3 linked regions of the Saccharomyces cerevisiae S288C genome follow. The gene in region 2 interacts genetically with the main gene of each other region. Each region holds a gene or a part of one and is shown on either strand. Other genes may lie near its edges. The genes, in order: GLY1, SHM2 and TBS1.

Evidence for each region.
Region 1: mutations in SHM2 (region 2) and GLY1 impair growth when combined (synthetic growth defect), as found in Saccharomyces cerevisiae (2 studies listed by BioGRID).
Region 3: mutations in SHM2 (region 2) and TBS1 together harm fitness more than expected from each alone (negative genetic interaction), as found in Saccharomyces cerevisiae (2 studies listed by BioGRID).

Annotation. Positions count from the first base shown.
Region 1 is NC_001137.3:66,568-71,215, reverse strand, and holds GLY1 (threonine aldolase GLY1), read left to right. Parts: upstream 1-2,423; coding exon 2,424-3,587; downstream 3,588-4,648. Other genes in the region: GTA1 (Gta1p), read right to left, coding at 1-738; IES6 (Ies6p), read right to left, coding at 959-1,459; FRD1 (fumarate reductase), read left to right, coding at 4,419-4,648. UniProt on the Saccharomyces cerevisiae protein: Catalyzes the cleavage of L-allo-threonine and L-threonine to glycine and acetaldehyde.
Region 2 is NC_001144.5:256,883-261,889, reverse strand, and holds SHM2 (glycine hydroxymethyltransferase SHM2), read left to right. Parts: upstream 1-2,488; coding exon 2,489-3,898; downstream 3,899-5,007. Other genes in the region: FRS1 (phenylalanine--tRNA ligase subunit beta), read right to left, coding at 1-911; REX2 (Rex2p), read left to right, coding at 1,343-2,152; putative mannosidase MNL2, read right to left, coding at 4,035-5,007. UniProt on the Saccharomyces cerevisiae protein: Interconversion of serine and glycine.
Region 3 is NC_001134.8:540,014-546,609, reverse strand, and holds TBS1 (Tbs1p), read left to right. Parts: upstream 1-2,116; coding exon 2,117-5,401; downstream 5,402-6,596. Other genes in the region: U4/U6-U5 snRNP complex subunit SPP381, read right to left, coding at 1-234; APD1 (Apd1p), read right to left, coding at 632-1,582; D-arabinose 1-dehydrogenase (NAD(P)(+)) ARA1, read right to left, coding at 5,589-6,596.

The sequences.
Region 1 (4,648 bases), on a different chromosome or scaffold from region 2:
AAAATCTTGCAAAAGCGAAGTTTGTTGGGACAACACATCGTGTAAGTCCTCCTGGGCGCAAATCAGTATCTTTTTCAGATCATCGATGGAAAACGAATCCAAATCCTTCAACGTAGTCAAAGATGTGTAAGCGGGTAGATTTGAACCATTATTGCTGGTGGCGCTATTAGTAATATTGGATGAGAAAGTAGACAGGGAAACAGAGGAGTAGTGAGAGGGCAACGGGGCGGGTTCGGACTTGGAGTTTCTGGGCTGCATAGCTGTGGACGATGTGATGGTGTTTCTTCTCCATTTTCTAGTCTTTAACGCTTCATTCGCCTCTCTCGCCTTCGTCATACAGTAAATGGAGGGTAGCTTATTGATAAAGCCCTTGTTGTTAATCGTTATAAAATCTAACTGGTACTGCGTCTCCGCCTCGAGACCCGTGATGGAGCAGCATGTGTAAAGGGAGTTTGGGTTGTTTGGGAAGATAGCCAATTGTGTGTTATTCAGATACAACAAATAGTGGGAAATGAAGTTTCTATCCGCACTGCCATTGTCCTCCGCTTTTACAGGTTCGTTCTCCCAATGAATGGTCACTGAATCCGTGGCTATTTTGTCGATAGACACTTTTGTTGCCGGTGGAGTTTTGATCTTCAAAGTGGAGACGATGCTGGACACAGGAATAGTGAGAAACTTATAGAGCCTATAAGAGAGCCACAGACATGCTAAAACCGTGGTTATTACAGAGACTGGCATCCATGCATGTGTTGGTAGTCCTAGGTAGGAGCGTAATGTGTCTTTACACGCTTTCCATTAACAATATTCCTTTTTTTTTTTTATTATTTTTTTTTCACTTTATCTTGTCCTTTTTAGCTTTACTCTACACTATTTTGCATTGTCGCACGTGACCAGCGACAAACTATGTAAGTGTGAAAGGTTGTCTACAAGCTAAAATACATACATACATATACAATGCCTATTTTAGAACGAAGTTGGCCCCTCTCAATTTTAAGTACTCCTGATCGACGCCGGGGGCCATCGGCTTTACGATTAACTGATAGATTTCTGCGTTGTGATACCGAATGTTGTTCGTAGGCGACTTGTAGAAGCCCTTCAACCCAGTAACATCGCAGTACTTCTTGGCAGGCCTGATAGACGGTGGCGCTTCCACGCTAAAGTACGTCGCTTTGGGCACAAGTCGCCTAGCAGCAGTAGAACTCTCTGCAGCTTTGTTAGCCTTGGTCAACAAGGCGTTGATCCGCTTGTTTTCGTCCGAGATCAACTGCCTCGCTGATTTGTGTCTTCTTGTCGGTTTCTTGTAATGCGCCGACTTGAATCTAGAGGGAAAGCCAATTTCATTGCGTTCGCCCACGCTTCTTAGAAACAGCAATCTCTCGTCGCCCCCGTCATTATTATTGTTATTATTACTATTATTACTGACGCTACTATTGCTGCTATTGCCCCTACTACCGCTCATTGTTTCGACTTTCTCACGCTGATGATGATGACAATTTTAACCTTCCCCTAGGTCACAACTTTTTTTCCCTCGTTCGCTTCTTTACACTTCCATTCCTCACCGTCTCAGCGCGGAAGAAAAAAAGCACGCTAAGTAAACCCAAAGTAAGCTAAGCTTAACTAAGCCGAACCTGGCCTAGAATTCTCTCTAACTCATTCTTTCTTTCATCTACTCACTCGCCGAAGAACAGGCACAGACTAATAAACTATGCAACCAGAAGGTAGTCGTCGTCATCGATATTCATCGAATATGTGCGGCGACAGGGCCTTCCTTCGCACAGAGAGCCACACGGCACGCCGGGGTAGCTGTTTCCTATTTTTTTTACACACGGCCCCAAATTGTTATTACTATTCTTTTTTTCTTCAACGCAACCAATACTTCTTGTTGTATATGTGCTGACAAATCATGCCAGCGGCAGGCCTGTGCAGCACGTGACCCACGCTTGGCCCGCTATGAAATGTCACGCGAAACGGACCCTTGCCTTTTTGGCGACGGCACTTCCCCTATCTGGAAAAAGCCGAGCATGCACCCGTACCCCACAAAGCTTCGCTTCCGGTTTCCGGGCAGCAGCGCCGTTTCTTTTTTCCCGCTGCTTCGCCCTTTGTATTACTCATTGCGCACTTTTTCACTTGCCATATTCGTTCACCGGTTTTTCTTTTTATTTCTTCGTCTTTTTTCGTCTTTTTCTTCACTGGATATACGCTTTTTGCATTTGCAATAGCACATATGTGTATATATATAAGCAAGTGTTGAGCTTGCCTGTCAAATCCTCCATGTGTCCTTCTCGTCTATCTTGTTCTGTCTGGTATAGAGTAATACTTACATACATATACGTACATTGTTTCCGCTGGCTAGTTCGTAACCACCTCCTTTCCTAGGCTTACACTCACTTTTACTCCCGCACACAAACGCAAACATAAACACAATGACTGAATTCGAATTGCCTCCAAAATATATCACCGCTGCTAACGACTTGCGGTCAGACACATTCACCACTCCAACTGCAGAGATGATGGAGGCCGCTTTAGAGGCCTCTATCGGTGACGCTGTCTACGGTGAAGATGTTGACACCGTTAGGCTCGAACAGACCGTTGCCCGCATGGCTGGCAAAGAAGCAGGTTTGTTCTGTGTCTCTGGGACTTTGTCCAACCAGATTGCCATCAGAACTCACTTGATGCAACCTCCATACTCTATTCTATGTGATTACAGGGCTCACGTTTACACTCACGAAGCCGCTGGACTGGCGATCTTGTCTCAAGCGATGGTGGTTCCTGTGGTTCCTTCCAACGGTGACTACTTGACCTTGGAAGACATCAAGTCACACTACGTCCCAGACGACGGTGATATTCACGGTGCCCCCACCAGATTGATTTCTCTGGAAAACACTTTACACGGTATTGTTTATCCATTGGAAGAACTGGTCCGCATCAAAGCTTGGTGTATGGAAAATGGTCTCAAACTACATTGTGACGGTGCCAGAATCTGGAATGCCGCTGCACAATCTGGCGTGCCATTAAAGCAATATGGGGAAATCTTCGACTCCATCTCCATCTGTCTATCCAAGTCTATGGGTGCTCCTATTGGGTCCGTCTTGGTTGGGAACCTTAAGTTTGTCAAGAAGGCCACCCATTTCAGAAAACAACAAGGTGGTGGTATTAGACAATCTGGTATGATGGCTAGAATGGCTCTTGTAAACATCAACAACGATTGGAAGTCCCAATTGCTGTACTCGCACTCTTTGGCTCATGAATTAGCCGAATATTGTGAGGCAAAGGGCATCCCGCTAGAGTCTCCAGCAGACACCAACTTTGTCTTTATTAACCTGAAGGCCGCTAGAATGGACCCAGATGTCCTTGTTAAGAAGGGTTTGAAGTACAACGTTAAGCTAATGGGTGGTAGAGTCTCGTTCCACTATCAAGTCACCAGAGATACTTTGGAAAAAGTCAAATTGGCCATCTCCGAGGCCTTCGACTATGCTAAAGAACATCCTTTCGACTGTAACGGACCTACCCAGATTTACCGTAGTGAATCCACCGAGGTCGACGTTGATGGCAACGCTATCCGCGAAATAAAAACCTACAAATACTGATGCGTTCCAGTTGCATCATGTGTATTGTTAGGGTTTTTGTTTTAGGATTGCTACCCTCTTCCTTTTTTTCATACATTACAATAATTTCGTGGCATTGTAGATTTAACGGCTTTCTTTTGCATCAATGATTTTTATATTCAAATGGGTTTTTTCTTTTTTCTGTTTTGTTATTCAAGGATATTTCAACTCTCACACCATAATTATAACTAATTATGTCGGCACATTTGAGAACCAATGGTTAGTTTCCAGCGCACCTAGCGACTAACTACCCTATTATGGAGGGACGAAGGTGGTCTTTCTGAGGGAAGGAGGAAAAAAAGGTAAGAACCTCTTTTCTTTGTTCCCCATTGAGAGATCGACTGAATATGTTTGGTTTTTTTGGTACTTGATTAAAGTTTACAACGGTACGTATCCACGTGGAGAAGCACATTTCTTTGTATTCTACGATACTACGTATTAAGATTGAATGTACCCATGTATATTCTCGCAGGGTTTCTTCACAGGATTTCGACGTACACCTTTTATACAAATATATATATATATTTATATGTATGCGTAAGAGTCTAAAAAACGTTCACTTTAATTCCTTTTTTGCTTTTACTACTATTGTCTTTCTTCTTTCATTTGTCATCATGCAGTGAATGACTGAAACAATAGAGACAGGTATGAAAAAGAAAATTTTTTTCTTTTCAAACGGTAACGGGGGCAACGCGTCGCGTTCCTGAACAGCTTAATCTATTGCACGTATAAAAGCTGAGAACAATACGCTGACATAGCACCCCATTTTTTTTTCTTATCTTCACTTCAACAACCCCTCATCCGTAATTGTAAATGTCTCTCTCTCCCGTTGTTGTTATTGGAACCGGTTTGGCCGGGCTGGCTGCTGCCAATGAATTGGTTAACAAGTATAACATCCCTGTAACCATCCTCGAAAAGGCTTCCTCGATCGGTGGGAACTCTATCAAGGCCTCCAGTGGTATTAACGGTGCTTGCACCGAGACTCAACGTCACTTCCACATCGAGGACTCCCCACGCTTATTTGAAGATGACACCATCAAGTC
Region 2 (5,007 bases):
ATGTACTTAATGGAGACATCCATAATTCTATCGTTGAAGTTTGGCGCCAAACGGGATTGGCCATTGTGTTCAGAGACAATTTCTACAGGCTCAACCGTGAATGGTTCGTCACAATAACGTGAGAACATTGTAGTTAATATGTTCAAAACGATCTCGGCTTTGGTCTTATCGGTGGCGGTTATATCAATCAAAATGTTACGGGTGTTCACAGAGATCTTCGAATGTTCACTATTGATTAATGGTGGCAGGGAGCAAACACGATCTTTGCTGTCCATAATAACTGGGAAGACTGGAGAATCCTCAATAATGTGAACGTATCTCCCTATGTTGTTTTTCTGTTCTGGAGATTTATAAAACTCGATCAATTTGTCACCAGTAAACTCTTGGGTTTGATTCAATGGTACGAACTTGATGTCCTTTGGTGGTAGAGCTCTGTAATGGAATGGACCTTCAATTGAATCTAAATCGTGAGTACCCATGGCAACCAAGCTTCTGTTTCTACATAGATTGGCATGTAATTTATCTTGCAAGGCAATAAAAGAAGCGTAAGATTTTTCGTTAAGCTTGATATTTCTCAATACAGCAGCGGTAGCAAAAGGTCTAATTTGCTCCGTTGATTTGTCGATGATCAACTTAGTGGTTGGCTTGCTTAATTTATAGTCAGGTCTTTCTTTACGTTCCAAGTATTCGTTCAGCGACTGTGAAATACCTTCGATACAAAGCAAATCGTAACGATTGGCACTGATATCAAGCTTCAATTCCGGCTCCTCCCCGGTTTTCAAGGCCTCCTCTGTGGTGTCTTCGTCCATTTCCATACCGAATTCAAAACATAATTCATCGAACTCTTGGGAAGTGTAGTTTTTGCCTAGAAGATCAAATAATTGCTGCTTGTTCACGGAGACGGTAGGCATGCTGGCTCGGTGTTATTGATGTGTGTTATGCTATTCTGCCCTATTTTTTGAACATTTGATCAACTCCAGGCTTTCGAGAAATACATTGAAAATTTTTCATTTCCTTCAATTTTCTTTCTTTTTTGGTACCGATTCTGAATAATCGGTCACCTCGTGTGTCGTGATAAATAATCAAGAAGATGTACTTTTATACAAGGGTTGTAGTCATCTGGGACACTCTCAGAGCACTGGCTCTGACGACAACCATCAAACGCATGCTCATACGTATAATTCAAGCCTTACATACACTGGTATTCCCTTTGGGGTGTTTCTTTTTCCTGTCAAGTTGGGCACTTAAAAGAACTAATAAAAAATCAGTGTGAACTTTTCGATTTGCAAAGAAAATGAAAAAAAAGAAAAGGAGCTTTCACAAATAAACAGAAGAGATCAAGATGAAGTGGTTGTTGTTTCCGGCAAGAATCGTAGCTCGCACTCGCCCAAACCTCTTCTCGCTGTACAGAAGATCCGTTTCACAGTACTTACGTCCTCGAACCATCCAAAACCTGCAATCAATGGCGCAAACACCCGAACTTAAAACCAAGCTGTTCAAACCCTTGGTCTGGATCGACTGCGAGATGACCGGTTTAGACCACGTGAATGACAGAATTATCGAGATTTGCTGCATCATCACCGATGGACACCTGGCACCCGTCAAAGCGGCCGATGGCCAAGGAGACTCGCATTATGAGAGCGTCATCCATTATGGTCCCGAGGTGATGAACAAAATGAACGAGTGGTGTATTGAGCACCACGGTAATAGCGGTCTCACCGCCAAAGTTTTGGCAAGTGAGAAGACTTTGGCCCAGGTAGAAGATGAGCTGCTCGAGTACATCCAGCGCTACATCCCAGACAAGAACGTTGGCGTCTTGGCAGGCAATAGTGTACATATGGACCGCTTGTTCATGGTCCGCGAGTTTCCCAAGGTCATTGATCATCTCTTTTACAGAATAGTTGACGTCAGTAGCATCATGGAAGTTGCCCGCAGACACAATCCCGCTTTACAAGCACGTAATCCAAAAAAAGAAGCTGCCCACACTGCTTATAGTGATATCAAAGAGAGCATAGCTCAATTGCAATGGTACATGGACAACTACTTGAAGCCACCACAGGAAACAGAGTCGGTCGAGTCAATCGGATCTGAACAGCCGGAGTCACCATCTTCATCTACCTCATCTTTGAAAAGACAACGCACCGATTTTTAATGTAGAAAAAAAAAAAGAAAAAAGAAGTGAAATTTTTCAAATATTTCACACACGAAACATGACTCCTGGTGAGAAATGACCCTTTCAGGTTGCTTTGACCATAAAGGTTTGACTCTATCTCTTGGGTTTCTCATGTTCGCTTTTTACTCTGTATAATTTTTAAATTCATAATCATCTTAGACCGAACCATGAGTCTTCTTCATCTTGTTTTATATATAATGCAGAACTTGCTTCCCTTAGTTTGCGTTCAGTAATCTTTCCTTCTTCTAGTGTAACCTTTACGAAAGATACTACCCCATAGCAAAGCATAACAGCTTAAACCGAATCCTCCTTAACATGCCTTACACTCTATCCGACGCTCATCATAAGTTGATCACCTCTCATTTGGTGGACACCGACCCTGAAGTGGACTCCATTATCAAGGATGAAATTGAAAGACAAAAGCACTCCATCGATTTGATTGCTTCTGAAAATTTCACCTCAACCTCCGTTTTCGATGCCCTTGGAACTCCATTGTCCAACAAATACTCTGAAGGTTATCCAGGTGCTCGTTACTACGGTGGTAATGAACACATTGACAGAATGGAAATTCTATGTCAACAAAGAGCTTTGAAAGCTTTCCATGTTACTCCAGACAAATGGGGTGTTAACGTCCAAACTTTATCTGGTTCTCCTGCTAACTTGCAGGTTTATCAAGCTATTATGAAGCCTCATGAAAGATTGATGGGTCTATACCTACCAGATGGTGGTCATTTGTCTCACGGTTACGCTACTGAAAACAGAAAAATTTCTGCTGTTTCCACATACTTCGAATCTTTCCCATACAGAGTTAACCCAGAAACCGGTATTATCGACTACGATACTTTAGAAAAGAACGCCATCCTATATAGACCAAAGGTTCTTGTTGCTGGTACTTCAGCATACTGTCGTTTAATTGACTACAAGAGAATGAGAGAAATCGCCGACAAATGTGGTGCTTACTTGATGGTAGACATGGCCCACATTTCTGGTTTGATCGCCGCAGGTGTCATCCCATCTCCTTTCGAATACGCTGATATCGTTACCACCACCACTCACAAGTCTTTGAGAGGTCCACGTGGTGCTATGATTTTCTTCAGAAGAGGTGTGAGATCTATCAACCCTAAGACCGGTAAGGAAGTTCTATACGACTTGGAAAACCCAATTAACTTCTCTGTTTTCCCAGGTCACCAAGGTGGTCCACACAACCATACCATTGCTGCTTTGGCCACTGCTTTGAAGCAAGCTGCCACTCCAGAATTCAAGGAATACCAAACTCAAGTCTTGAAGAATGCTAAGGCTTTGGAAAGTGAATTTAAGAACTTGGGCTACAGATTAGTTTCCAACGGTACCGATTCTCACATGGTTCTAGTATCCTTGAGAGAAAAGGGTGTTGATGGTGCTCGTGTTGAATACATTTGTGAAAAGATTAACATTGCTTTGAACAAAAACTCTATTCCAGGTGACAAATCTGCTTTGGTTCCAGGTGGTGTCCGTATTGGGGCTCCAGCCATGACCACTAGAGGAATGGGTGAAGAAGATTTCCACAGAATTGTTCAATACATTAACAAGGCTGTAGAATTCGCTCAACAAGTTCAACAAAGCTTGCCAAAGGATGCTTGTAGATTAAAGGACTTCAAAGCCAAGGTCGACGAAGGCTCTGATGTTTTGAACACCTGGAAAAAGGAAATTTACGACTGGGCTGGCGAATACCCATTGGCTGTGTAAAGAAATCACCACAACGACACTTAATCCCAAAAAAATAAACATTACTGTATAAGTATTCATTTTCTCCTCTTCTCATTATGTATATATGTACCTATATGTATGTATGTATGTGCGTACGATTTTTCTAACGTTAACTTCATTTCTTTTTGATTATGTGCCCTCCTTGAGTTAAGATGTGTTTGTCCAGGGAAACCTTGTCACCATCGCTGAATAGTAGCAAATAGTATTTTAATGTTCTGGAGAACCAATAGCTAGGTAAATCATTGTTCACTTTTTCACCGTTTTCATAAAATTCCTTTATTTGCCACAATCCTTTGGCACCACTGTTTAGTTCCATTAATTCTTGCATTAAGATTCCAAAAGACTGCTTACCCATGCTTCTCCATTTTTGTTCTCCACTGATTCTGTACATATAAAATATAGATTCAATGATATTCGAATCCAACAATCTTCTGGATTCTACCTTGTTGACCCAAAATGGCCAGTCTGGATGGTTTTTCCACTGAGAACCCATGGTATCGTCCGTTGTAATATGCGGTTTGATATCCTTACCAAGCGTAAAAACTCTACGTATTTGCGTTACTTCGTCGCCGTCTATTTCAGCAATCGATTTCGAGCTTCCAACAGTATCACCTTTTATGTTTTGAGTCTCTGTTATCCCATCTTTGCTTAGTACATTTCTCTTAGCTTTCTGGTCATTCCCACCTTTCCCATAATTCGAAACTTTGATCCCGACATCTAGGTCATTTTCAAAAGTTTCATATTCGCCGTTGGCAATCATTCGTGATTTAGTTTCGCCGTTAAACTCGCAATTCCCATTAGTCTCATCAGTGCAAGGGTCCAACTCGAATTTTTGAGGGAGCAGCCCGTCGAACTCCTCCATTAGCATAAAACAACTTTCTGTTATTATTTCGCTCATTTCCAATAGTGACGATGGTAAAATATATTTCGTGTTGACACCGCCTCGGTGGGGAACACGTGAACTTAAACCTAGAATGCCGCCAAGTCTGCATGAGTATAACGAGACATCGTAAGATTTTCTTATCGTGACATCTAGCTCATTAGTCGTGGGCATGAATTGAGATTTTGTTAGAATGGAATTCAGAAAA
Region 3 (6,596 bases), on a different chromosome or scaffold from region 2:
TTCGGGACTCTCATCACTTTCGGGACTCCCATCACTTTCATTTGATTCTTGGCCATCATTGGGGGTGCGGTTCTTTCCTGTACCATTTAAAATTTCGCCGCCCAAATCACTATGGCTTAATGAGGCTGATTTTTCTGTTAGAGATACGTTTTGGTCTGGATGCTCTTCATCCGCCGAAGAGCTTTCATCTGCTGAGCTTGTGTCAAGTCTCCTCTTGAAATGTCTAAAACTCATCGTATGTGATTCAAATCAGTAACCAAAAAAAATTCTTAATCTAGCGGTGGCGGTAGAAATCTGCATTTGTTCTTTCTTTACTGGGAACAACGAAGAATTGCTTTTCTCAATATATGGCGAAATATTGCATGTTTGCAAAAATTATAAAATGAAATAATGAGCAGCAAGTGGAAAACAGAAAAAAAATCAGATGAAAATATGAAATGGATTAAGAAAATGGCCAAAGAATCTTTCATGTATGGAAAGTTGAAATACAGGATCCCTTTTGCAAATAAAACTTTTCATTATCATCTTAGCGTTATAAATATATATGCGTGCTTTAGAACTATGTACATTTAAAAGCTACTCTGATGGCAAATTTTATGGCGTCAAAAGATTGTATTTTGCTGGCCAACCTTTACCAGCTTTGATATTTCTTAATACAGCGAACTTTTTCGGGAAACGGCAACGTTGGTTCTTCAGGAACAATCAGATGTTCGACAATAGAAGGAACTATGGTTGGAGTTACTCTTCCCAACCAAATTAAGGTATTTGGATTTCGTAAATAAATTTGAACATTTGCAGCAAATTTGTGACCACCAACATGATTAACAAATGCAATTTTGACACCCTCTGCCCTGTAATCCGAATTGTCCCTATACAGCCCATGTTCCTGTAATTTACTGTCAAAAACTTTCTTTAAATAGGGTGCCGTAATCCCGCATCGTTTATCCCTCGTAGTATGTGAACATATAAATACAAATGCACGTTCACGTGCAACGGCAACATTTGGTCGTGTTTCTAGCAATTTCTCTCTTGAAATATTCTCGTCTAATAAGTCAGGAACTAAACCATCCAGCGTTGCTTCGACGTCATCTGATCTAAGGTCGTTCAGCCAAATGAAGTAAGGCAAAATAAGTACATTATTCTTGGTTCCCCGCATAACATCAATATCCATGATATCTTTAGGTAAAGATGAAACTGCACAGTTTAGTGTCTTGCCTGTGCCCACGTTGGAAAATTTAGCTGAATTCTTATCACACCACTGGGAAATTTTATACTGTACTGACTTTGGGTCCTCGAGGCAGGCATCATGCTGCCAATCGATTTGAGAGGTGGGGACAACGAAGTGAATTTTTGGCGTTTTAGAAGAGTTCAACAAAGGAGTTTCATGTTCGATCTTTAGTTTCGCAAAGGCCTGCTCTCCTTCTTCAATTTCTGTTTTGCAATCACCAGAGCAGCTATGTTCGTTAGCAGCATCGTCACTTTTGCATATCTTAATCGATTGAGAAATTTCCTCCCGTCCCTTTGCGCTCAGTTGTGAAGCTTCATCACCACGTTTTTGCTTGAAAATATTCAAAAAAGCCATAATTCAAAGGACAAAGAAGATATCTCTCTCTTGGCCGCCTTCTTGCCTCCTCCGAATATAGCCAAGTACTTTCTTTTCTTATACCTCGAACAGAAAGAAAACCAGTATGTTATACTACTATTCGGTTAGAATTTCAACTTTGCGTTATCATCATATGATCTCAACAATATAAATAGAAGATATCATCAGCGCCAAGAGTGGAACTCTCCCTCTCCTTGCACTTGTTTTAAGAAACTTTTAGCCCTTATTTCCATCTTTATTTCCGCTTTTATTTCCGCAGCACCGGTGAACCCTCTTTTTTATACCTTCAGAATTTTCTTTGCACCTAAAAAGTTCAAATTGCCCTTTAAAAAATATTTATAATACCCTAAAGGGTCCACATTTTCATTTTGACCCTACTCCGCCAGAAAATGTTGATTTATCATGCCTATTTTCAGCCACTGCCCAAAGTCTACTTAAAATAGAGTAAACTTTATATTACGACTACTCTTTTTTAAGTTAACAATGATTACAAGCCCAGCAGGAGTTGTGTGAATGAATATGGATTCTGGTATTACAAGTAGTCATGGAAGCATGGATAAGACACAAAAGCAAAGTTCTGAGTGGGCAGCTAACCAGAAACATAATCAAAGAGTCGAAAATACAAGAGTTTTAATGGGCCCCGCTGTCCCTGCGATGCCTCCAGTACCATCAAATTTTCCGCCTGTTCCAACTGGTACAATAATGTCGCCTCAGTTGAGCCCTTTTCCGGATCACCGTTTAAGACATCACCCATTAGCTCATATGATGCCTGCTGATAAGAATTTTCTGGCATATAACATGGAGTCTTTCAAAAGTAGAGTGACTAAAGCATGTGATTATTGTCGGAAGAGGAAGATTAGATGTACGGAAATCGAGCCGATTTCTGGTAAATGTAGAAACTGTATCAAGTATAATAAAGATTGCACGTTTCATTTCCATGAAGAACTGAAAAGAAGGCGAGAAGAAGCTTTGAATAACAAGGGAAATGGGAAGTCGGTTAAGAAGCCGAGGTTGGATAAGGAGAATAAGTTCAAGGATGAAAATTTTGATATCGCCGTGCGATCAAGAAATACTTCTTCTACAGACAGCTCGCCGAAATTACACACCAACTTATCACAAGAATATATTGGAGTTTCTGCCGGCAAAAGTGCAAGCGATAAAGAAGATACTTGGCCTGACTTTGTTCCTATTGACAGGACAGTGCTTGAAAAAATTGAACTCAACCATACGAAGGTTGCTGGGAAAGTTTTTGTTTTGGAAGAGATTTGTAAAAACATGAAGGGAACAATAGAGAAGCTAGCTGAAAAAAGCAAAATTGACGTCATTGATAAAGAATACATGAAAAGGCCTAAAAGAAAGCAATATTCAAAGGCCTTGTTAACAAAACAAAAAATGTTTCATTTTCGACAAAATGTTTTATCACATTTAACTGACGAAGAATTTCTTTCGCCCATTAATGAAATGTTTACTACTACTTTCAAATATTCTATTTTACAGACCAAGCTGGTCCTGGACTTCTCTTTCCGATCCGCATCATCACCATCTAGTGATAATATTTTGTATCCTCTGCCCCGTTTAGCAATTGCAAAGCGTTTGCTCAAAAATATAAAATGTCCATCATTAGCCTCTCTTCTCCACATAGTGGATGTAGATCAATGTTTGCAATTTGCCGACGTGCACTTTGATCCTGCTAAAGGAAGATTGACATCATCACAGGCATTTTTGCTAAATATCTGCCTCTGCCTTGGGGCCACCGTTACAAATTTTGAGGAGAAGCAGGAGCTAGTTGATGAAGATAATCATGAAACCTATTATTTTGAGAAGTTCGAATTATGGAGACTCAGATCTTTCACTTTTCTCAATTCTGTCTATTACTACCATAAACTGTCTGTAGCACGCGCAGATATGACGGCATTAAAGGCATTACTGTTACTGGCAAAGTTTGCCCAACAAAAAATAAGTGCTTCATCAGCGGTCAAAGTACTATCCGTTGCTATCAAAGTGGCTTTGGATTTACGGCTCAATTTACATTCCACCTATGAGGATCTAGAACTTGATGAAATCATTAAAAGAAGACGCTTGTGGTGTTATTGTTTTTCAACAGACAAATTCTTTTCTGTGGTGTTGTCAAGACCGCCCTTTCTCAAGGAGGAAAACACTGATGTATTAACAGATGAAAGCTATGTTGAACTATTCAGAGATAAAATTCTGCCCAATCTTTCTATAAAATACGATGATTCAAAACTAGAAGGGGTGAAAGATATTGTATCCGTTGTAAACTTACTCGCGAATCACCTTGAATATGTACCATACATTCAATCATATTTTTTGTCGAGATTATCCCTCATAGAGTCTCAAATATATTACTCATGTTTTTCCATCAGAACAACTTTAGACGATACACTAGATGAAATCATTGAAAATGTACTGGAAAATCAAAAGGCGTTAGATAGAATGCGAGACGATTTGCCCACCATATTATCATTAGAAAATTACAAGGAAAACATGAGGATTTTATCTTTGGATTCTTCGAAGTTAGATTTTGAAGTGAGTTGTTGTACTACTATTCTATTACACCTCAGATGGTACCATCAAAAGATAACCCTGAGTTTATTTGTCATATCCATCATTGGAGATAACTTAGATCAACGGGAAAGTTCCCGGCATGATATAGCTGAAATTATTAGAAGGTCAAGATTGGATTTCAAGCGAAATTGCATCGAAGTACTTAATATTTTGAAAGATTTTGAATACTACCCTACTGTTCAGAATGAGTTTCTGTATTTTTCTCTCACAACGGTTTTTTCCATGTTTCTGTATTTGTCAGAGATTATGGTTAATGACGAACATGCCATGGAGACTGGTTATATAATTGGATTATTGAGGGATACACATACCCGTATGCTTGGATCTGAAGAACGCTGTCTTTCAGTACACAATCTGAAGTGGCAAACATCTCTTTTTTTTTACACTTTTTTTCTACGGAGTACGATGGAAAAGTTCAATCTGACAAGTAAATACGCAAAATTCTATGCCTTTGATTCAAATTATTATGAGGGTGTTCTCAATAGGTTAGTTAAGCATACGAGAGAATCAAAAGATGATATGGTCGAGCTCTTGAAAACTTCGTTCATAAATAAAGAGAAGATGGCTGCATTTGGTAGTTTCGTTACAGAGGACCAAGAAAAAATGGAAGTGTCCTTCAATATTTTCAATGAAATAACAATCCAGGATTTGAACTTCTTGCAATTTTCAAGCATTCCGAAATTGTGGGAAAATAAAACTCTTGAGCCAGGCGAGGAATATCATCATAGTAATGGTACCAATACTGATAATAACGAGACTACTGGCGCTGATGATACTGACGATAATAATAATAATAATAATAATAATAATAAAAATGGCAATAATAGTAGTAGTACTATTAATAATAATAACAATAACTACAGTAACAGTAACAATAATGACAATGACAACAATATTAATGATGATGATGATGATGATGATGATGATGATGATGATGATGATGATGATGATGATGATGATGACAATGATGATGATTATAGTAATAATGGTGCTGATGATGATGAAGAAGACGATGACTATGACAGATCTTTATTTCCAACAGGTTTAGCTTCGCTGCTTGATGCGTCATATCCTGAACGTACGGCGAATGATTATAGAGATGAGAATGAACAATCGAATAAATTATTCGAAAAGATTGAAGGCCATTTGGAGCACGGTGTTTTTTTTTACGATCGGGATTTCTTCTTCAAGAATGTGTGTGTAAAAATGTAATATTATATAAAGGACATTCGAGTAATTTAACTAATACATATGCATACGCGCGCGTATGTATTTCAGATACTTAAAAACTTCAAATCACGTATGAAAAACATATTGTTTACTTGAGGCGATTACACAATATCTTGTTTTTGACAAGATTAAGAAGCGAACTAAATAAAGTGAAAATAAAGTCGTTGTCTTAATACTTTAAATTGTCCAAGTTTGGTCCGTTACCAGTAAACTCTGGAAGGATGGCTGCAAATGGCTCATCGATGAATCTCACTGGGTATTTTTCACCGAAGTCGTTCAACTCTTGTAATTCATCCTTTGTCAAAGATGCGAATTCAATACTCGAGGAAATCCTAACTGGATTCAAGGATCTCGGAATTACGATAGTGCCTTGTCTAATATGGTAAGAAATTAGCAAGTCATTTCCTGTGACATTGTACTTTTCGGCAAGCTTTTTCACTAGTGGGATTTTCAAGTTTGGTGCGCCATGGGAACCTAATGGTGAGTATGCTGTTAACAGAATGTCGTGCATAAAGCAGAACTTTCTTAGTTCCATTTGTGGTAAGTGAGGGTGAGTTTCCACTTGGTTCACCGTTGGCTTAACTCTGCATTCCTTAATGAGACGTTCCAAATACTCAATGGAAAAATTTGAGACACCAATGGCTCTCACACGATGATCGTTAGGATCAAGGTAAATTTTTTCCAATTGCTTGTAAGTTTCTAAATAGTCACCGTCGGCAGCATACATTGTTTTTCCAGAATCATCAACCGGAGTCTTCACCAGTCCGCTGATCCCCTTAGGGTCCTTAATCTTTTCAAAACATAGCGGCCAATGTTGCAAGAGCAAGTCGACGTATTCCAAGCCTAAAGCTTTCAAAGATTCATTCAATGATCTGTCCACTTCGTCCCATAGAACCGGCCACACTTTTGTGGTTATGAAAAGATCCTCCCTTTTGATAGATCCATCTTCTAATAACTCCTTGATGGCTTCACCTACGAATGGCTCTGTCTCGTAGGCCCAAGCAGTATCAATGTGCCTGTATCCAGCTTTGATTGCAGCTTTTACGGCTTGTTTTGTTTCAGCTAACTTTTCGTGAGGATTTGCTGTCCCCAAACCCAGTGCTGGGATACGAACACCATTGTTGAGTGAAAAGTATATTTCTGTAGTCTTTGGATGCAACATATTTTCGACTATGTT